3 linked regions of the Anolis sagrei genome follow. The main gene of each other region encodes a partner of the protein of the gene in region 3 in a complex. Links are inferred from orthologs where the notes say so. Each region holds a gene or a part of one and is shown on either strand. Other genes may lie near its edges.

What was found.
Region 1: VDAC1 (region 3) and PPIF share a complex: the UniProt entries of both Homo sapiens proteins name them as parts of the mitochondrial permeability transition pore complex. The link is inferred for Anolis sagrei from reciprocal best matches to the Homo sapiens genes VDAC1 and PPIF.
Region 2: VDAC1 (region 3) and SPG7 share a complex: the UniProt entries of both Homo sapiens proteins name them as parts of the mitochondrial permeability transition pore complex. The link is inferred for Anolis sagrei from reciprocal best matches to the Homo sapiens genes VDAC1 and SPG7.

Annotation. Positions count from the first base shown.
Region 1 is NC_090023.1:153,128,009-153,135,585, reverse strand, and holds the start of PPIF (peptidyl-prolyl cis-trans isomerase F, mitochondrial), read right to left. Parts: upstream 3,080-7,577; 5' UTR 2,957-3,079; coding exon 2,777-2,956; intron 1-2,776. UniProt on the Homo sapiens protein: PPIase that catalyzes the cis-trans isomerization of proline imidic peptide bonds in oligopeptides and may therefore assist protein folding. Involved in regulation of the mitochondrial permeability transition pore (mPTP).
Region 2 is NC_090028.1:27,667,038-27,675,033, reverse strand, and holds the start of SPG7 (mitochondrial inner membrane m-AAA protease component paraplegin), read right to left. Parts: upstream 3,001-7,996; 5' UTR 2,787-3,000; coding exon 2,652-2,786; intron 1-2,651. UniProt on the Homo sapiens protein: Catalytic component of the m-AAA protease, a protease that plays a key role in proteostasis of inner mitochondrial membrane proteins, and which is essential for axonal and neuron development.
Region 3 is NC_090022.1:92,316,823-92,323,773, forward strand, and holds the start of VDAC1 (non-selective voltage-gated ion channel VDAC1), read left to right. Parts: upstream 1-3,950; 5' UTR 3,951-4,026; coding exon 4,027-4,188; intron 4,189-6,951. UniProt on the Homo sapiens protein: Non-selective voltage-gated ion channel that mediates the transport of anions and cations through the mitochondrion outer membrane and plasma membrane.

The sequences.
Region 1 (7,577 bases), on a different chromosome or scaffold from region 3:
CCTTGGGGACTTGGTTTTAATTTTTATATTGTATGTTTATACTGGCTGTAAACCGCCTTGGGCCCTTGACTATGGAAAGAGAGGCTATAAATTTCATAAACCATTTGGGCCCAGAGTATTTGACAACCGGCATCCCCACCTACAAATCTGTTTGGATTCTGTGATCAGCGGAGGGGGTCCTCCTCTCAGTCCCACCCCGGTCTCAAGCACGGCTGGTGGGAACAACTGGTGGGGACAAAACTGACTGACTATTTTAATTTACCAAAGAGCTATATTTTTATATCTTTAGACAGATTTTAACTCTTTAATTGTATTATGTATGTTGCCAGACTGACTGATTTATGTTTTTATAGCCAAAGGCTTTTTGATTCGATTCTATGTTTAAATGTTTTCATTTTATTGTTGTACGCAGCATTTAATGTTTGCCATTTTTGTTTATGGAAGCCACCCTGAGTCCCTTTGGGGAGAGAGGGCAAGTTAAAAATAAAGTTTTATTATTATTATATCTATATCTGTGAATAATGAGTACCTTAAAAACAAAAGAACCAATGAATGAAATCACACCAAATTTGGCAACAAAACGTCCCACAACACAAGGAGTGACCATCACTCAAAAAATCATGATTTTGTCATTTGGGAGTTGTACTTGCTGGGATTTATAGTTCACCTACAATCAAAGAGCATTCTGAACTCCTTCAACAATGGAATTGAACCAAACTTGGCAAACAGAACTCCCATGACCAACAGAAAATACTGGAAGGGTTTGGTGGGCATTGACCTTGAGTTTGGAAGTTGTACTTCACCTACATTCAGAGAGCACTGTGGACTCAAACAATGATGGATCTGGACCAAACTTGGCACAAGCACTCAATACATCCAAATATGAACACAGATGGAGTTTGGGGGAAATAGACCTTGACATTTGGGAGTTGTAGTCACTGGGATTCACAGTTCACTTATAATCAAAGAGCATTCTGAACCCTATGAACGACAGAATTGGGGCAAACTTCCCACACAGAAACCCCATGACAAACAGAAAATACTTAAGGCCATCCAATCCAACTCCCTTCACCAGGGCAAGAACACATAATCAAAGTCCTCCTGACAAAGAGCCATCCAGCCATAGATATAGATAGATATAATTCACACACTCACAGATATAGTATCATAGATTTGAAAGGGACCCTTAAAGAAGGACAATGATATGTTGCATGTTCCAGGGTGGACAAACCAGACACTCTCCACATCAAAACCGACAAAGAAACAGCAAGAAATACTGTTTACCCACAAGCATAAAGTAATAACATATATTAGAAACCAACACTTTCTCATTATTTTCCAGATCAACAGACTGGGCCACAGCAACACGTGGCAGGGGACAGCTAGTATATATATATATATATATATATATATATATATATATATATAAATGCTCTGTTCGTTTTGAGTGACATAGTAACTCAATATCCACTGGACGAATTGCTGCCAAATTTGACCATAAGACACCTATTAACCCAAGGAGTTACCATCACTCAAAAAATCGATTTTGTCATTTTGGAGTTGTAGTTGCTGGGATTTATAGTTCCCTGCAATGAAAGAGCATTGTGAACTCCACCAACGATGGAATCGAACCAAACTTGGCACACAGAACACCCATGACCAACAGAAAACGTTAGAAGGGTTTGGTGGGCATTGATCTTGAGTTTTGGAGTTGTAGTTCACCTACATGCAGAGGGCACTGTGGACTCAAACAACTGAAAAATCTAGACCAAACTTGGCATGAATACTCCATATGTCCAAATATGAACACAGATGGGTGTTTAGGCAGAAATAGACCTTGACTGGGATTTATAGTTTCTGGGGGTCTTTAGTAACCCTTCTGACACCCCCTCACGACCCCCAGGTTGGGAAATGCTGCCTTAAGACCATCCACTCCAACTCCCTTCACCAGAGCAAGAAAATATAATCAAAGCCCTCCTGACACAAAGTCACCCAGCCATACACACACACACACACACACACACACATATATATGAGATTCACACACATACATATATATGTATATGACAGATATAGTACTAGAGATTTGAAAGGGCAAATATATGTTGCATGTTCCAAAGTAGGCAAACCAGACAACCTCTGCATCAACACTGACAAAGAAACAAGAAACATTGTTTACCCACAAGTATAAAGAAATTACATATATTAGAAACCAACAACTTCTTATTACTTTATTTTCAAGATCACCAGACTGGGCCACAGCAATGCGTGGCAGGGGGCGGCTAGTTATATTGTAAATAAATAAAGTTCAATAAATCCCTGATTCAGAACATTGTTATGGTTTCCAATGGCACCTTTGAAGGGCACCTTGAAGAGAGAGGACGCCCAGAGGAAAGGCGCCTGGAGAGGAGGGAGGGTGCGAATACCCTGTGGAATCAATGCGGTTTTGACACCACTTGAGTTGCCATGGCTCTGTGTGGAGTTGTATTTCATTGAGGGGCTAGCCCTCTGGGGCAGAGAAGGCTGGAGACCTAGCAACTACTCCCAGGATAGCACAGCATAAGGCCAGGGCAAAGCAAGTCATTCCATAGTGTGGACCAGGGTATGGGCAAGCTTGGGCCCTCCAGGTGTTTTGGACTTCAACTCCCACAATTCCTAACAGCCTACCGGCTGTTAGGAATTGTGGGAGTTGAAGTCCAAACCACCTGGAAGGCCCAAGCTTGCTCATACCTGGTGTAGATGCACCTGAGGAGAGGCAAAGAGAAGGCGCGCGCACCTCGAAGACGACGCGGCCCAGGGGCTGGTTGTCGGCACCCACGTCCAGGAAGACCAGGGGGTTGTCGTCGTCGTCCTCGCCGCGGCGGCTGCTGCTGCTGCTGTCGCTGCACTCCCGGGTGGCGGAGCGGAGCAGCGGGAGGAGGAGGAGGCGACTGCGGGCGGAGCGCAGGGCCAGCATGGCGGCGGGCAGAAGACAGAGAGACCTGAGAGGAAGCGTCCTTTCCCGCGTCCCTCTCTCAAGCGCGCTGAGAAAGCCGGCCTCGCGCTTCAGGCCTCTTTTATAAGCCCTCCTCCCCGCCTCCCTTCGGCGACGGCGCGTGGCCGTGACGTCACGAGGCGGGCGTTTGGACGGCGCGCGAGAGGGCCTTCCCCACAGGCATCTCCTGCGAGGGGCCTCTCTAAGGGTCTGGGTCTCACTCAACTACAATCCCCACTCAGCTCTACTGTGATAACGCACTGAGTCGGCTTTCTTCTGGGAGGAGAAGGCCCCAGTTGTGATGAAGGTAGTTGGGTTGTTGTAGGTTTTTTCGAGCTATATGGCCATGTTCTAGAGGCATTCTCTCCTGACGTTTCGCCTGCATCTATGGCAAGCATCTTCAGAGGTTGTGACCTCACCTCACAACCTCTGAGGATGCTTGCCATACGTGCAGGCAAAACGTCAGGAGAGAATGCCTCTAGAACAGGGGTCCTCAAACTACGGCCCGGGAGCCGGATATGGCCCTCCAAGGTCATTTACTCAGCCCTCGCTCAGGGTCAACCTAAGTCTGAAATGACTTGAAAGCACACAACAACAACAACAATCCTATCTCATCAACCAAAAGCAGGCCCACACTTCCCAATGAAATACAATGGTTTATATTTCTTAAAATTGTTCTTTTTTATTGTATTGTATTGTTCTGAAGTGTTTTTTGCACTACAAATAAGATGTGTGCAGTTTGCATAGGAATTCATTTTTTTTTTCCAAATTATAATCCGGCCCTCCAACAGTTTGAGGAACTATGACCTGGCCCTCTCTTTAAAAAGTTTGTGGACCCCTGCTCTAGAACATGGCCATATAGCCCGAAAAAAACCTACAACAACCCAGTGATTCCAGCCATGAAAGCCATCGACAAGGTACTTACTTGTTTACTCTGCTGAGAAGCAGAGAGACCCTGCTTCCTCCTCTGGGGAGTTCAGGGCAGTGGGGTCAGTCCTGTTCAACATCTTTATTAGTGACTTAGATCAGTGGTTCTCAACCTTCCTAATGCTGTGACCCCTTAATACAGTTCCTCTTGTTGTGGTGACCCCCAACCATAATATTATTTTCATTGCTACTTCATAATTGTAATGTTGCTCCTGTTATGAATCGTAATGTCAATATCTGATATGCAGGTTGTATTTTCATTCATTGAACCAAATTGGGCACAAATGCCCGATAGGCCCAAATTTGAATACTGGTAGGGTGGGGGGGGGGGGGAGAGATTTTGTCATTTGGGAGTTGTAGTTGATGGGATTTATAGTTCACCTACACTCAAAGAGCATTCTGAACTCCACTAATGATGAAATTGAACTAAACTTGGCATACAGAACTCTCATTACTAATAGAAAATACTGGAATGATTTGATGGGCATTGCGTTTTGGAGTTGTAGTTCACCTACATCCAGAGGAGCACTGTGGACTCGAACTGATCGATCTGGACCAAACTTGGCATGAATGCTCAATATGGCCAAACGTGAACAGTGGTGTAGTTTGGTGAAAATAGACCTTGACATTTGGGAGCTATAGTTGCTGGGATTTACAGTTCACCTGCAGTCAGAGTATTCTGAATTCACCAATGATAGAATTGAGCCAAACTTACCACACAGAAGCCCCATGGTCAACAGAAAATACCGTGTTTTCAGATGGTCTTTGGTGACTCATCTGACACCCCCCTTGCGATCCGCTCAGGGGTTCCGACGTTGGTGAAAGCTCGAGGCGGGCGAGGGGGCTTTGCGCGAGGCCAGGCCTCGTGCTGAGGACCCCTTGCCCGCCTCGCGTCCACGCCGAATGGGGTGGGGCCAACGGAGGCGGACTCGCGACCCCTCCGAAATGGCCAGATGACCACCCTGGGGGTCACAACCCCCAGGTTGAGAACCACTGACTTAGATGGAGGGTATTTTTATTTGTCGTGTCAGGGCAACCAGTCAATTGTATTACATTTCTAACAGAACAAAACAAACAAACAGACAAATACAAAATGTGTGAGCTTGGTAGTTGATTAAATATCCTTTGACCAGTAGCTGGCCACTTGGAGTGCTTCTGGTGTTACTGCAAGAAGGTCCTCCATTGTGCATGTGGCAGGGCTCAGGGTGCATTGCAGTAGATGGTCTGTGGTTTGCTCTTCTCCACACTCGCATGTCGTGGATTCCACTTTGTGGCCCCATTTCTTGAGGTTGGCTCTGTATCTCGTGGTGCCAGAGCGCAGTCTGTTCAGCGCCTTCGAAGTCTCCCAGTCTTCTGTGTGCCCAGGGGGGAGTCTCTCATTTGGTATCAGCCATTGGTTGAGGTCCTGGGTTTGAGCCTGTCACTTTTGGACTCTCGCTTGCTGAGGTGTTCCAGCGAGTGTCTCTGTAGATTTTAGAAAACTATTTCTAGATTTAAGTCATTGACGTGCTGGTTGATACCCAAACAGGGGATGAGCTGGAGATGTCTCTTCCTTGGTCCTTTCACTATTGGCTGCTACTTCCCCCAGCTAAGCAGTGTAATTTCTCCAGTGGTGTAGGGCGCAGACACCCCATGATAATGCGGCATGTCTCATTAAGAGCCACATCTACTGTTTTAGTGTGGTGAGATGTGTTCCACACTGGGCATGCATACTCATCAGCAGAGTAGCATAGTGCAAGGGCAGATGTCTTCACTGTGTCTGGTTGTGATCCCCAGATGAAGGGTTAGAAGGCATGATCATTAAGTTTGCAGACAACACCAATACTCCAGAGGACAGGAGCAGAATTCAAAACAATCTTGACAGATTGAGAGATGGGCCAAAACTAACAAAATGAAATTCAACAGGGACAAATGCAAGATACTCCACTTAGGCAGAAAAAACGAAATGCAAAGATACAGAATGGGGGACGCCTGGCTTGAGAGCAGTAAATGTGAAAAAGATCTTGGAGTCCTCGTGGACAACAAGTTAAACATGAGCCAATAATGTCATGGGGCGGGGGGAAAAAGCCAATGGGATTTTGGCCTGCATAAATAGGAGCATAGTGTCTAGATCCAGGGAAGTCATGCTACCGCTCTATTCCGGCTTGTTTAGACCACACCTGGAATATTGTGGCACCACAATTGAAGAGAGATGTTGACAAGCTGGAATGTGTGCAGAGGAGGGCGACTAAAATGATCAAGGGTCTGGAGAACAAGCCCTATGACGAGTGGCTAAAAGAGCTGGGCATGTTTAGCCTGAAGAAGAGAAGGCTGATAGGAGACATGATAGCCATGTATAAATATGTGAGAGGAAGTTACAAGGAGGAGGGAGCAAGCTTGTTTTCTGCTTCCTTGGAGGCTAGGACATGGAACAATGGCTTCAAACTACAAGAAAGGAGATTCCACCTGAACATGAGGAAGACCTTCCTGACTGTGAGAGCCGTTCAGCAGTGGAACTCTCTGCTCTGGAGTGTGGTGGAGGCTCCTTATTTGGAAGCTTTCAAACAGAGGCTGGATGGCCATCTGCCGGGTGCTTTGATTGCAATATTCCTGCTTCTTGGCAGGGCGTTGGACTGGATGGCCCATGAGGTCTCTTCCAACTCTATGATTCTATGTTGCCTCTCAGAAAGATGTGAAGAGCCCCCTTGGTCGCCTCAGTGCCTGCTGCTTGGATCTCCTTTCCCTCTGGCCTCCTCTGAACCCATGGACAAGTGGTACTTGTGAGGGTTGGTAAATGTGTATAAGCAGAGTAAGTAGAAGCTTTACCACAGTATTTAAACTAAAGTATATCCTGCTTGGACCGTGAGAAGATCCAGCCAGTCCATACTTCAGGAAATAAAGCCCAACTGCTCACTGGAGGGACGCATAGTAGAGGCAAAGATGAAGTACTTTGGCCACATCATGAGAAGAAAGGAAAGCTTAGAGAAGACAATTATGCTGGGGAAAATGGAAGGAAAAAGGAAGAGGGGTCGACCAACGGCAAGGTGGATGGATGGCATCCTTGAAGTGACTGGCTTGACCTTGAAGGAGCTGATGGCCGACAGGGAGCTCTGGTATGGGCTGATCCATGAGGTCACAAAGAGTCGGAAGCAACTGGAACAAATAAACAACATATTGATTTCAGGTTCGAGCCCTGCTTTCATGTATTTTAAGAAAGAGATGGCAGAATTATTAGAACTTTGGCTGACATTAGATATTAATTTAACAGAGTTGGAAGCGACTGTGGTCCCCTGTTTTCTGAGTGTTCCACAGGAACTTGTTATATTCAGTTAGTTGTTCTTTACCTTGAGAGTTTTTGTGTGGGCGGTTCCAGACAGCCCTTTATCTCAGGATCATTCGCGTTTTTAAAACGTGGATGTTCCTGGGGGCCTGTCTGCACCCACCCCAGAAAGTGTTCGCTTTCTGGGGTGGGTGTCCACATGTTCTGTTGGGACTAGCCCAGCAGAACATCAGGGGACCTGCCTCCAGTACACTCTTGCAGCACCTCTGAAAAGTAATGAAAACTTACCCGGCCTCCAGTACACTCATGCAGCACCTCAACTGGTGCTTAGAAATGACATGCCAGGAGAGTGGGGGGGGGGGGGGGGAGGAAAATCGCTCTCCCCCCCCCCCCCCCCACTCTCCTGGCGCATCATTT
Region 2 (7,996 bases), on a different chromosome or scaffold from region 3:
TATTATTAATGATTTCCAAGATATTTTATTACATTATTATTAATTATTCTATTATTATAGACTCCAGGCTCTACTTAAAAACAAGTAGGTAAAACATTAACTACTTACAGACTATTATTATTACTAATATTACTACTATTATCATTACTACTATTGTTATCATTATTATTAATGATTTACAAGGTATCTTATTATGTTATTAATTATTCTATTGTGATAGAATCCAGGCTCTATTGAAAAACAAGTAGGTAAAACATTAACTACTTATTATTATTATTATTATCATTACTATTATTATTATTATTATCATTATCATTATTGCTACTATTACTAGCCAGGGTACCTGGCAATGCCCCGATTATTTGAAAAAAGGCATTGTTTGTTTTGGGGGGTTAGGTAAAATCATTTAGTTAACTAGTAACACTATTGATTAGAAAAAAGCCAGTCTTCAATTTCATTGTTTATGAATGCTCCTCTTGGAAAATGTATAAAGATGTGGGTGAACTACAATTCCCAGAATCGTGGGTCAATCCTCCCCAAACCAGGTCTGTATGTACAGTTGGCGATATTGCATCTGTGTGCCAAGATTGGTCCAGATCCAAAGTTGGCTGGGTTCAGTGCTCTCTGAATGCAGGTGAACTACAACTCCCAAAATCAAGGTCAATTCCCACCAACCCCAACAGCATGGTATGTTGAGTTGGTCTTGGGGCTTTTCTGTGACAAGTGTGGTCCCAGTCCATTGTCGGTGAGGGCCACCGTTTCTCTGGATGCAGGTGAACTACAGCTCCCAGAGCAATCACCCCCAGACTCTGCCTGTATTCGTGGTTGGGCATGTTGGGTCTTTGTAACAAGTTTGGTCCAAATCCATAATTGAGGGGGTTCAGAGTGCTCTGAATGAAGGGCGAACTACAACTCCCACGTGGGTGTGTCATTCCCTCCCCAACCTAGCTCTTTCTGAGAAATGGGAATCTGTGTGTAAGTGGACACCTCTGCCACATACACATTTTCACTTCTATTATGTGGATAGATAGATAGAAGATGTACAGAAGATAGATAGATTATTAATTATTCTATTATTACAGAATCCAAGCTTGGAGACTATTATTATTACGATTAGAATAATTACTATTATCATTATTACTATCAATACTATTATCACTATTACTTTTATTACTATTATTATCATTATTACTATTATCATTATTGGCACTATTCTCATTATCATCATTACTAATATTATAACTATTACTACTATTATCACTACTGCTATTATTACTATTATTATTATTACTCTCATTATCACTGTTATTATTATACAACCAGAGAAGTCAGCCTCAGCAGAGCACTTGATGATCCAACCTGGACACAGAACATTATTTGAGAACACAGAAAGGCTGGACCACTCTGACAACCACCATGTCAGGCTACACAGAGAAGCCACTGAAATCCACAAGAAGCATGTGAACAATTTCAACAGGAAGGATAAAAGTATGAAAATGAACAAAATCTGGCTACTAGTGAATAAAGAACAACAATCAGAAAACGGGGGAATTCCAGACAACAGGAATTCCAGACAAGAAACAATCAGAGCCAGCTAATCGCCTCCCAACAAAAGATTCCCCCACACAGTAAGTGGCCAGACTTTGAAGCTTCAAGGCCATTAACTGCTAAACAAGGTGGCCAATTGCAACATTCACACCTATCTCAAACAGACAAGTTCTTTCTCCCACCCTGGACGTCATTCCACAGATATATAAACCACATGTTCCTAGTTTCCAACAGACCTCACAAACTCTGAGGATGCCTGCCATAGATGCAGGCGAAACATCAGGAGAGAATGCTTCTCGAACATGGCCAGACAGCCGGGAAAACTCACAGCAACCCAGTGATTCCGGCTATGAAAGCCTTTGACAACACATCGAAGCAGCTATATTTTGAACATATGAGATGACATATGTTGAAATTGTCCACATGCTTGTGGATTTCAATGGCTTCTCTGTGTAGTCTGACATGGTGGTTGTGAGAGTGGTCCAGCACTTCTGTGTTCTCAAATAATATGCTGTGTCCAGGTTGGTTCATCAGAAAGGAAGGAAGAAAGGAAGAAACCATGAAAATGAACAAAATCTGGCTACTAGTATGAAAGGACTCAAAAATCACAACAGCAAAACAACAGAGGGGAAACAAACAGGCACATAAAATCACTCTCAACAAGGGATTCCCCCCGGGCACTTCCAAGCCATTGAATGCTAATCAAGGTGATCAGCTGAAACATCCACAGCTAGCCCCAGCAAACAAAAGTCCTTTGTTCCACCCTGGTCATTCCACAGATATATAAACCCATTTTTCCTACTTCCAGCAGACCTCACTACCTCTGAGGATGCTTGCCATAGATGCAGGCGAAACGTCAGGAGAAAAACTGCCTCCAGAACATGGCCATATAGCCCGGAAAAACCTACAACAACCCAGTGACTCCGGCCATGAAAGCCTTTGACGATACATCATTACTATTCATACTAAAATTATTACAGATTTCCTATTTGGAAATGCCTGAAGGACTTGTAGTTCTACAAGGAACTTCCCCATCATAGAGACAACATTAATTCGATCCTGAGGAAGCCAAGGGCCCAAGTGTGGATTCCCCCCTCCTTTACCTGAAGGCCGCAGCCTGGGCCTTTCCTGAGAGGCGGACCGGAGCAGACGCCACGAAAAACCCCGTTCACCAGAAAAGCCCTCGGTCCCAACCTTCGGAAGCTTCCCCGGAGGAGAAGCCGCAGCAAAGAAGCCATCCTCGGATGAGTCCTTTCGATGAGGGAAAAAATGAGGATTTCACCTCAGGAGAAAACAGAAGGGAGACTAGGAAAAGGAGCCGGCGCCGCCATCTTAAAAGCTGGCGGCTCGCTTCCCTCGCAGCCCACTCCCAAGATGGCCGCTTTTCCGCCTCGCACGCTGCGCTCCTCTTTTCCTCTCCTCGGCCCGCTCTCAAGATGGCCGCCCTCCTATTCCCTCCCGTCTCGCAGCCCGCTCTCAAAATGGCCGCCACTTTGAGGCACGCACGACGCTGCTTCTTGGCCCCGCCCCCTCCTCCCGCTCTCAAGAGAGCCGCCCCTCGGCCTCGCATTACAGAGGTCACCTCTTGGCCCCGCCCCTTGCAGCCCACTCCCAAGATGGCCGCCCTGCCACATGGGTTTCTCATTACAAGCTCTGTAGTATGCAGCCAGGAGGAATTCATTATTATTATTATTATTATTATTGTAATATTGTTATGGATCTAAACTGAATTGTTTTTTAATATTGATCCTATTAAATACTGTTTTAATGTTTGTATATTATTATTATTTTATTTTTATTTGTTTATTCTCATTGCAAGCTCTGTAGTATGCAGCCAGTTGTAATTCATCATCATCATCATTATTATTATATTTTTATGGTTCTAAACTGAATTGTTTTTAATATTGATCCTATTAAATACTGTTTTAATGTTTGTATATTATTATCATTATTATTATTATTATAATTTGTTTATTCTTATTACAAGCTCTGTAGTATGCAGCCAGTTGTAATTATTATTATAATTATTATAATTATTAATTACAACTGGCTGCATACTTATTATGATTATTATTATCATTATTGCAGCCCCCGGTGACGCAGTGGGTTAAACCCCTGTGCCGGCAGGATTGAAGATCGACAGGTCGCAGGTTCGAATCTGGGGAGAGGCTGATGAGCTCCCTCTATCAGCTCCAGCTCCTCATGCGAGGACATGAGAGAAGCCTCCCACAAGGATGATAAAACATCAAATCATCCGGGCGTCCCCTGGGCAACGTCCTTGCAGATGGCCAATTCTCTCACAACAGGAGCAACTCCTGACACGACAAAAAAATATATCATTATTATTCTCGTAATATTTTTATGGATCTAAACTGAATTGTTTTTAATATTGATCCTATTAAATACTGTTTTAATGTTTGTATATTATTATCATTATTATTATTATTTTAATTTGTTTATTCTTATTACAAGCTCTGTAGTATGCAGCCAGTTGTAATTATTATTATAATTATTATCATAATTATAATTATAATTATTATAATTATTAATTACAACTGGCTGCATACTTATTATTATTATTATTATTATTATTATCATTATTGCAGTTCCCGGTGGCGCAGTGGGTTAAAGCCCTGTGCCGGCAGGATTGAAGATCGACAGGTCGCAGGTTCGAATCCGGGGAGAGGCGGATGAGCTCCCTCTATCAGCTCCAGCTCCTCATGCCAGGACATGAGAGAAGCCTCCCACAAGGTTGATAAAACATCAAATCATCCGGGCATCCCCTGGGCAACGTCCTTGCAGATGGCCAATTCTCTCACAACAGGAGCAACTCATGACAGGACAAAAAAAATATATCATTATTATTCTCGTAATATTTTTATGGATCTAAACTGAATTGTTTTTAATATTTATCCTGTTTTATACTGTTTTAATGTTTGTATATTATTATTAATATTATTATTTTATTTTTATTTGTTTATTCTCATTACAAGCTCTGTAGTATGCAGCCAGTAGTAATTTATTATCATTATCATCATCATCATTATTATTCTCGTAATATTTTTATGGATCTAAACTGAATTGTTTTTGATATTGATCCTATTTAATACTGTTTTAATGTTTGTATATTATTAATATTATTTTTTATTTTTTTATTTGTTTATTTTTTATGTCTTTCCAAAGCGACTCACAATAAAAAATACGACTTAAAAAATACAAATATACCATAATAATTTGAACGGAAAATTATGTAACAACTATAAAAAGTAAAGTGAGAAGAAACCATGAAGATGGAATGGAAATCAAACCCCCCCTTTTTTTCTTTTTTTCTCTCTTCTCTTTATTTCCCATTTTCCTATCTTTTAAATGTTCCCCCACTTTCCATGTATGTAAATATATACTAATCTTCAATAAAATCATTTCAAAAAAATACAAATATACCGTAATAAAACATGATATTATCAGTAGTAATTATATTTAATGTATTAGGTAGGTAAAGGTTGTCCCCTGACATTAAGTCCAGTCGTGTTCGACTCTGAGGGTTGGTGCTCGTCTCCATTTCTAAGCCGAAGAGCCAGCGTTGTCTGTAGACACCTCCAAGGTCATGTGGCCAACATGAGTGCATGGAGTGCAGTTACCTTCCAGCCGGAGCTGTATCTATTGATCTATTCACATTTGCATGTTTTTTAACTGCTAGGTTGGCAGAAGCTGAGGCTAGCAGCGGGAGCTCACCTGATCCCCGGATTTGAACCAGCGACCTTTTGGTCAGCAAGTTCAGCAGCTCAGTGGTTTAACCCACTGCGCCACCGAGGGAGATAAAGTGGGGTATAAATAAATATTATAAATAAGGATTATAATAATATCCTGATTTTTTAAAACCTGAAACAGACTCAAAACTAGCTCATAACTTAAAATAACAAGACAATTAAAACACACAATAGGGAAATGTTAAAATTTAATATACCCATTTGCACTATCAAACTAATTCCTGTTGGGAGTTTTCCTACTTGAAAAACCTTTGAGCTATGACAACCAAGAAGCCCTCTGTGGTGCAGCCGGTTAAACCGCTGAGCTGTTGAACTTGCTGACTGAAAGTTGGCAGTTTGAATCTGGGGAGCCGGGTGAGCTCCCACTGTCAGCCCCAACTTCTGCCAACCTAGCAGTTCGACAACATGGAAATGTGAGTAGATCAATAGGTACCGCTTCGATGGGACGGTAACGGCGCTCCACACAGTCATGCTGGCCACATGACTTTGGAGGTGTCTAAGGACAACGCCCGCTCTTTGGCTTAGAAATGGAGATGCGCACCAACCCCCAGGGTCGGGCACGACTGGACTGAATGTCATACCTTTTTTATGACAACCAAAGCTCGTTATAATAAACTTTCCAGGATGGTGTTATAAAAAGCATGGCTCTTTGGGATGGTTCTGGGAGTTTTCTCGATACATTGCAACTTTCCAAGTTCTGCTATTGAATCTTGATTAATAAATGCCCAGTTCCGAGAGGAAGGTGAAGAATTATTCCAATTCCATTTGCAAAACAGTTCAGATGCGGAAGAAGGAGAACGGCCTTTCCCCCAGTGACTTGAAGAACCTGACACGGCGGCTGACGAAAGGCACAGAAACCGGTTCAAGGTGTACTGTTGTGGACTTTAAACAGAGTTAGTGCAAGTCACCCTTGTGCTTTTACCGTAGGTCTCCAGAAATGCAAAGGTATGCAAGATATAACAAGATAGCTATATGGTCTTGTAACTATGGTGTTTCATCAGCCTGGAGTTGATTACATAACATACCCTTAGCTTGCTTGAGGCTTATAGAAATCAAGGCAACACATGAGATGCAACTACACCAGGCATAGGCCAACTTTGCCCTCAAGGTGTTTTGGACTTCAACTCTCACAATTCCTTTTTTGTGGAGTTGTGGGAGTTGAAGTCCAAAACACCTGAAGGGCCGAAGTTGGCCCATTATGCCATGTTGACTTTCTACATGGATGAAGAGAGAGGGGATAGATATATGGCTAAATAGATAGATATAACAATATTATCAATAATATAATATATTATTATTTTAAATGTGTATTGTGCTATTGTTAATGTTTGTGTTATTCTGTGTATGAGATTTATTTGAAGTGCTTTGTATTGTTATTGCTTGTATTGTTGTATTGTGGGCTCGGCCTCATGTAAGCTGCACTGAGTCCCTTGGGGAGATGGTGGCGGGGTATAAATAAAGTTTTTTAAAAAATTATTATTATTATTATTATTATTATTATTCGTCCCCTGCCATGTGTTGCTGTGACCTGGTCTGTGTATATGTGTTTTGTGTGTGTATATTTGTGGATATGTGTATATATGGTATATATGTGGTTTTGCACATGTGTTGTAATTTTTAATGGCTTTTTAAGTCTCTTATGTGTTTTTCAGTGTTTTTATGAGGGATGGTCACTCTTTGGCTTGCTATCTGTTTTGTGTCCAAATTTGGTGTCAATTCGTCCCGTGGTTTTTGAGTTATGTTCATCCCACAAACGAATATTAAATTTTTATTTATTTACTAGCCATCCCCTGCCACGCGTTGCTGTGGGAAGTTTGGCCCAATTCTATCATTGATGGGGTTCAGAATGCTCTGTGATTGAAAGTGAACTATAAATCCCAGCAACTACAATTCCCAATTGTCAAGATTCTATTTTCCCCAAATTCCACCAGTGTTCACATTTGGGCATATTGAATATTCTTGTAGAGTTTGGTCCAGATCCATCATTGTTTGAGTCCACAGTGATCTTGGGATGTAGGTGAACTATAATTCCAAAACCAAAGGACACTTCCCACCAAATCCTTTCAGTATTTTCTGTTGGTCGTGGGAGAACTGTGTGCCAAGTTTGGTTCAATTCCATGGTTGGTGTGGTTCACGATGTTCTTTGATTGTAGGTGAACTATAAATCCCAGCAACTACAGCTCCCAAATGACAAAATCAATTTTTTTTTAGTGAAGGCCCTACATTGGCCTGATAGGTGTCTTGTGTCCAAATTTGGTGTCAATTCGTCCAGTGGTTTTTGAGTTCTGTTAATCCCACAAACGAACATTACATTTTATTTATATAGATTTATTTATTTATTTTAAGCATTTATATTCTGCCTTTCTCACCCCGAAGGGGACTCAGGGCAGAGCACAGCATATATAAGGCAAACATTCAATGTCGGGACACAAATTCATATACAATACAAAAACATTAAAAAAACATTTATCAAAATATTAAAATACACCATTTAAAACCGTCCTAGACATCCGTGTCAAATCTAATTGGCCTGGTCATTTTTCCTATTGCCGCTTTATTGCCCTGTCCCGAAAGCTTGGTCCCACAGCCAAGTTTTTACCATCCTTCTAAAGGACAGGAGAGAGTGGGCCGACCTGATTTCACCAGGAAGGGAGTTCCATAGCTGGGGAGCAATCACCGAG
Region 3 (6,951 bases):
AAGGCTAAACGGAGGGCTGCACAAACACAACAAGGACCAAGTACCAAAAGCACAATAATCCCAATTAAACAGCTCAAGGGAAGATCTCAGGGGCTCACATGTCTTTACACTAATGCACAGAGCATGGGAAATAAACAAGACGAACTCCAACCTTTAGGACAACACCACAAATATGATATCATAGGGATCACTGAAACCTGGTGGGATGACTCCTATCGCTGGAATGTAGATATCGAGGGGTATAACCTCTTTCACAGAAACCGAACAAAGGGGAGAGGAGGCGGAGTAGCCTTATATGTCAAAAACTCTTATGCTGCAGAAGAGATTCAAGACAGCAATCTGGGAAACCAGCTTGAAATCATCTGGATAAGAATCAAGGGAACTGGGACTCAAAAAGATGTCGTTGTAGGCGTCTACTACAGACCCCCAAGCCAGGAGGAAGAACTTGATGAAGTCTTCTGCCAACAGTTGACCAAACAGGCACAGAGAAGAGATGTAGTAGTCATGGGCGATTTCAACTATCCCGATATTTGCTGGAAAACAAACTTGGCCAAGAGTACAAGGTCCAACAAATTCCTCGCTTGCCTTGCAGAAAATTTCATGGTCCAGAAGGTAGAAGAGGCAACAAGGGGATTGGCTACTCTTGATCTCATCCTAACAAATGCGGAGAACCTGATCAATGCGGTCGAAGTGGTAGGATCCTTAGGGGCAAGTGACCATGTGCTCCTGCAATTTGAGGTACAAAGGAAGGCCGAAACTAAGACAAGACAAACCCGCATTTTGGACTTCAGGAGAGCTGATTTCCAAAAAATGAAGGAAACGCTGAGCAGCATTCCGTGGACACAGATACTAAAAAACAAGGGAGTTACGGATGGATGGGAATTTCTCAAGAGTGAAATACTCAAGGCGCAATTGCAAACCGTGCCAACAAAGAGAAAAAATAGGACAAGTGCAAAGAAGCCAGAATGGATGTCCAAAGAACTTCTAACTGTGCTAAGACACAAAAGAGACATGCACAAGAAGTGGGAAAAGGGAGAAATCACCAAAGAAGAATTCAAACAAATAGCCAACACCTGTAGGGAAAAGGTCCGCAAGGCTAAAGCAAAAAACGAGCTCAGACTTGCCAGGGACATTAAAAACAATAAAAAGGGCTTCTATTCTTATGTCAGTAGAAAAAGGAAAAACAAGGAGGCGATAGGACCTCTTCGAGGAGAAGATGGGGCAATGCTGACAGGGGATAGGGAAAAGGCAGAACTACTTAATGCCTTCTTTGCCTCGGTCTTCTCACAAAAAGAGAGTCTTCAACCTCAGCAAGATGGAGTGGATGAGGGATTGGAGGACATCCAACCCCAAATTGGGAAAGAAGTCGTCCAGGAATACCTGGCCGCTCTTAATGAGTTCAAGTCCCCAGGGCCAGATCAACTACACCCCAGAGTATTGAAGGAACTAGCGGAAGTCATTTTGGAACCATTGGCAACCATCTTTGAGAGTTCTTGGAGAACGGGAGAAGTTCCAGCAGATTGGAGGAGGGCCAATGTGGTCCCAATCTTCAAGAAGGGAAAAAAGGATGACCCAAACAACTACCGTCCGGTCAGCCTCACGTCGATACCGGGCAAGCTTCTGGAAAAGATTGTTAAGGAAGTGGTCTGCAAACACTTAGAAACAAATGCAGTCATTGCTAATAGTCAACATGGATTTATCAAAAACAAGTCATGCCAGACTAATCTGATCTCTTTCTTCGATAGAGCTACAATCTGGGTAGATGCGGGGAATGCCGTGGATGTAGCGTACCTGGATTTCAGTAAGGCCTTCGACAAGGTCCCCCATGACCTTCTGGCAAGGAAACTAGTCCAATGTGGGCTAGGCAAAACTACGGTGAGGTGGATCTGTAATTGGTTAAGTGGACGAACACAGAGAGTGCTCACTAATGCTTCCTCTTCATCTTGGAAAGAAGTGACAAGTGGAGTGCCGCAGGGTTCCGTCCTGGGCCCGGTCCTGTTCAACATCTTTATTAATGACTTAGATGAAGGGCTAGAAGGCATGATCATCAAGTTTGCAGACGACACCAAATTGGGAGGGATAGCCAATACTCCAGAGGACAGGAGCAGAATTCAAAACAATCTTGACAGATTAGAGAGATGGGTCAAAACTAACAAAATGAAGTTCAACAGTGACAAATGCAAGATACTCCACTTTGGCAGAAAAAATGAAATGCAAACATACAGAATGGGGGACAATGCCTGGCTCGAGAGCAGTACGTGTGAAAAAGATCTTGGAGTCCTCGTGGACAACAAGTTAAACATGAGCCAACAATGTGATGTGGCGGCAAAAAAAGCCAATAGGATTTTGGCTTGCATCAATAGGAGCATAGTGTCTAGATCTAAGGAAGTAATGCTACCCCTCTATTCTGCTTTGGTTAGACCACATCTGGAATATTGTGTCCAATTCTGGGCACCACAATTTAAGAGAGATATTGACAAGCTGGAATGTGTCCAGAGGAGGGTGACTAAAATGATCAAGGGTCTGGAGAACAAGCCCTATGAGGAGCGGCTTAGGGAACTGGGCATGTTTAGCCTGAAGAAGAGAAGGCTGAGAGGAGATATGATAGCCATGTATAAATATGTGAGAGGAAGCCACAGGGAGGAGGGAGCAAGCTTGTTTTCTGCTTCCCTGGAGACTAGGATGCGGAACAATGGCTTCAAACTACAAGAGAGGAGATTCCATCTGAACATGAGGAAGAACTTCCTGACTGTGAGAGCCGTTCAGCAGTGGAACTCTCTGCCCCGGAGTGTGGTGGAGGCTCCTTCTTTGGAAGCTTTTAAGCAGAGGCTGGATGGCCATTTGTCAGGGGTGATTTGAATGCAATATTCCTGCTTCTTGGCAGGGGGTTGGACTGGATGGCCCATGAGGTCTCTTCCAACTCTTTGATTCTATGATTCTATGATTCTATTTTAACTGTCATGGCTAAATGCTGTGGAATCCTGGGAGTTCTAGTTTTACCAGGTTCATTAGCCTTTTCTGCTCCCTCACCAAACTATCACTCCCATAATTCTATAGCCTTGAGCCGTTGCAGTTAAAATTGTATCCAACTGCATTCATTCTACAGTAGCTGCAGATGGATACAATAATTATGCTGCCTCCTGACTTTCAGAAAGATGGTAAAATCTTGGCTTTGGAACTTAGCATTCTCAGATTGATGATGGAATCAATAACTGTTGACTACAAGGCGGATGGGATGAATTTGTGATTTACCTTGACGAATCAGCTTTATGTAATTCTTGATCTGTATTTTAATGTGTTTTGATGTATCAATGTACTATGATGTTATTATGCTTTAGTTTATTTGCATATTGATTCTCTGTTGTTAGCCGGCCTGAGTCCCTCCTCGGAGGTCGAGAAGACCGGGTTATAAAAGCTCTAAATAATAATAATCATAATCACAATCATAATAAATAATAATAAATAATAATAATTTGCAAAGGCCTGCTCAGAAATATACAACAACAGCTGTGCCTGGATAGAGGTGTAGTGCAGTGCACGGGGGGAATGTATGCCTAGTGGATACTACGCCTTGGAAGGATGCCTGTGTAGACTCGCTCTTCCTGATGCAACTATTTGCACAGCAAGACTGGTTTGAAACTGTATTAGTCAGCCAGTGTAGCCGAGGCCTAAAAGAGTTCTTCCACCATCCTTTTGTACTCCAACTCCCAGAACCCTGGGCATTCAGGGAGGATGCATCGCCCCAAGAAGCCGAGCTGTGGACCCGTGGTTCGCTCGCAGCACCACGCAGGCGCACGGTCTCGCGCTGCCTCGCCTGCCCGCCTGCCGCAGCCTCCAGTGCCAGCCCCCTGGCTCTTCTTGGGGCGCGTGAAACGCTCAACGGGAGGCAGGCCCTGGGATTGGCCGAGCCGCTTCCGAAGCCCCGCCCCCTCGGCAGGAGCCAGCCGGGCGAGGCGGCGAGGCAGGCAGGCAGGCGGGAGCGGGCGCCGCAGTCACGTCTCGCAGCCGCGCGGGGAGGGTTCCGCGATGCTGGCCTCGGCGCAGGACAGGCCCACCTCGTTCCGCCTCTCCTCCTCCTCCTCCCCCTCGGCCCCTTCCCCCTCCCCTTCGCCCCTCTCCGCCGCCTCCTCGCCAGCTGTCACTCCGCAGAAGCCCTGCTGCAGCCACGGAAAGGAGCCCGGCGGAGCGGTAAGCTGAGCCCACGCTGCGTCGCGGTAGAGGAGATCCAGTAGAGAAGCAAAAGGGAGGGAGAGAGGGGTGGAGGAGGCTTGGAGCCAGGCGCTGAGGCCTGGGCGAGGAGCCATCGCCTTGCCCTCCAAGCCCTGACCTTTGGCGCTGTGCTCTCCCCCTTGCCAGGCCTTCCCTTTCTTCCCAAGGAGGCCGCCTTGGCCTGAGCGCCAACCCCACCCGCGGGCGCCTCTTTCTGGAAGCGCTGTCCACCCAATCCTCCCTGCCTCCTCCTCCTCCTCCTCCTCGGCATCCTTCCCCGGGCGGCGCCTCGGCCTTCCCTCCCAGGATCGGGGCCTGGCGGGCCATTGGGCGGCTATTTTAAGCCGCGCCATCTGCTCTCCCTCGAGAAGAGAGTGGGATTTGGACAGGGCTCCTTTCCGTCCGGCGCCTCCGCCAAAGGCAGCGCTGCGTGACCTTCCGGGAGGCAAAGCACGCCTCGCACGAGTCGGAGAGAAGGCCCACGGCTCTTCTTTGAAGGCTCGCCTCGCCCGGATCGCGTTGCTTCCCACGTTTCCGGGTCCCCTTTCGGCCTCCGTCGCCTCTTCCTCTCATTCTCCCTCTGCCCCCCCCCCCCGGGCCGCCCTCTAAACGCCCTTCATGCCCTTGGAGCTGCGGGAAGGAGGTCTGCCGCTTCCTCCTCTCCTCAGGGATGCTTCCTGCAGAGAAGAGGAAGCTCCGAGGCTTTCTCTCCCAGATGCCTCCCGCACTGGCTTCCAGTGGACTAGTAAGAGAGAGAGAGGGCTGCAGGCCTTCGGAGCTATCAGGAGGCAAACATGAGACCGGACTCTCTAGTAAAGTTCAAAAAGCACTTTTAGTGGTTTTTAAAAAATTAATTTCCGTGGAAGAGAGTTAAAGAGTTAAAACTCAGTCGATTTGCTGGATTTTTAAAAAGTGCTTCCCTTGGGAACAATGTGTACCCTCAAGACACTTCCAATTTTATCACCAGGTTGTCTTGGGAAGATTTATACAGAAGGGTTTGAACTTCACTCTCCTCTGAGAATGTGTGGCCAAAGTCATCCAGTGGGTTTCCATGACTGAGCAGGGGCTTCAATCCTGATCTCCAGAGTCATGGGGTACATCTACATTATTGAATTAATCTAGTTTGACACCTGCTATGGTTCAGTGCTATGGAATTGTGAGGGTTGTAGCTTTACAAGGTCTTCATCCTCCATTGCCTTCAAAACACTTTCAACCTATCACCAGGGTTTCTTCGGAAGATTTGTACAGAAGGGAGTCAGCTTTGCCTTCTTCTGAGGTTGAGAGTGTGTGACTTGCCCAAAGTCATCCAATGGATTTCCATGACTGATCAGGGGCTTCAGTCTTGGTCTCCAGAGTCATGGGCTGCATCTGCTTTGTAGAATTAATGTAGTTTGACGCCTATGATTCTGTGCTATGGAATTGTGAGAGTTGTAGCTTTACAAGGTCTTCATCCTTTTCTGCCAAAGAGTACTGATGCTTCACCAAATTACAAATCCCATGATCCCTTGGCATTGAGATATAGCTGTTAAGGTGGTGTCAAACTACTATAATTCAACAATGTAGATGCATCTGTAGTCCAACATGCAAACCATGTAACTGGGTCATAGTTGCAAACATTAAATATGATATTAAAACAAAATGGAGAAAGCTTCTTCAGTATTCATTAGGCATGGTTAAGAGAAAACTAAGTACCTTCAAATTTGACTGGATGTAATGTGAAAGACCTTTTTATCAATGTTACACAAAATGATTTGATGATACCTCAGATTATTTGGCACTGCCTTTAGGACTCTTCCAATGTGACCTGCTTTACAGTTGATTTGTGTGAAGCAAGCAATTAGGGTTGGATTTATTTGTTGCCCTGGGCTGAAAGCTACTGTCATTCATAAACAGTAGATTTACTGCAGCTGACAGAGTTTTAACATTTTTTGGATGTTCATACATTTCTTTTTCTAGCCTTCAAGTTGAGGTGTCATTCTCTGTTCTCTCTTTTTAGTCCTGGGCTTCTTCCAGAATTCTATTGCAGCAAAATTCTCTCATTCAGCCATGTTGTGCAGATGTAGATTTGTTGGGATTAACCTCCCAGTTGTTGTGCTTAGGACAGCATAGCAATCTCGGTTTGATTCATTATTCAGTGAGCCAACTAAGATTCTTAGAAGTAATGACAGAGGGGTACTCTTAAAGAGTTGCTTAATATAATTTAAAAGTCGATGGTGATGTTGCAACATGTTATTTGTCATGTCATGACAGGAAGTGTTATGGGAGTGAATATTTCAAGAATAAAACCCTATTCCTGGTAGTTCTGATTCCCCTGTTCTCTCCCGTATCCCCTTTTCATCTCTGGTGGTACAATGGGTTAAAGCCTTGTGCCAACAGGACTGCTGACCGAAAGGTCGGTGGTTTGAATCCGGGGAGCATCTCTCAGTTCCAGCTTCTCATGCAGGGACAGGCCTATCACAGGATGTTAAAATATCCAGGCATACCCTAGGCCTGTGATGGGCAACCTTTTGAGCTTGGTGTGTCAAAATTTGCTAAAAACCTGAGCATAACTTGGGTGGGGTGTCAACTTCGAGGGAACCCCCCCCCCCAATAATATTGCAATATTTATAGTTTAAATAAGAAAAATGTATATTCCATGCTGAGTTATGCAGTGAACAATACTCAAATGTGCAGATGCTAAATTTGTAGAGCCTTTTACAAATTTAAGGATGGAATTAGATTGGCTCTTATAAGGTGTACTTC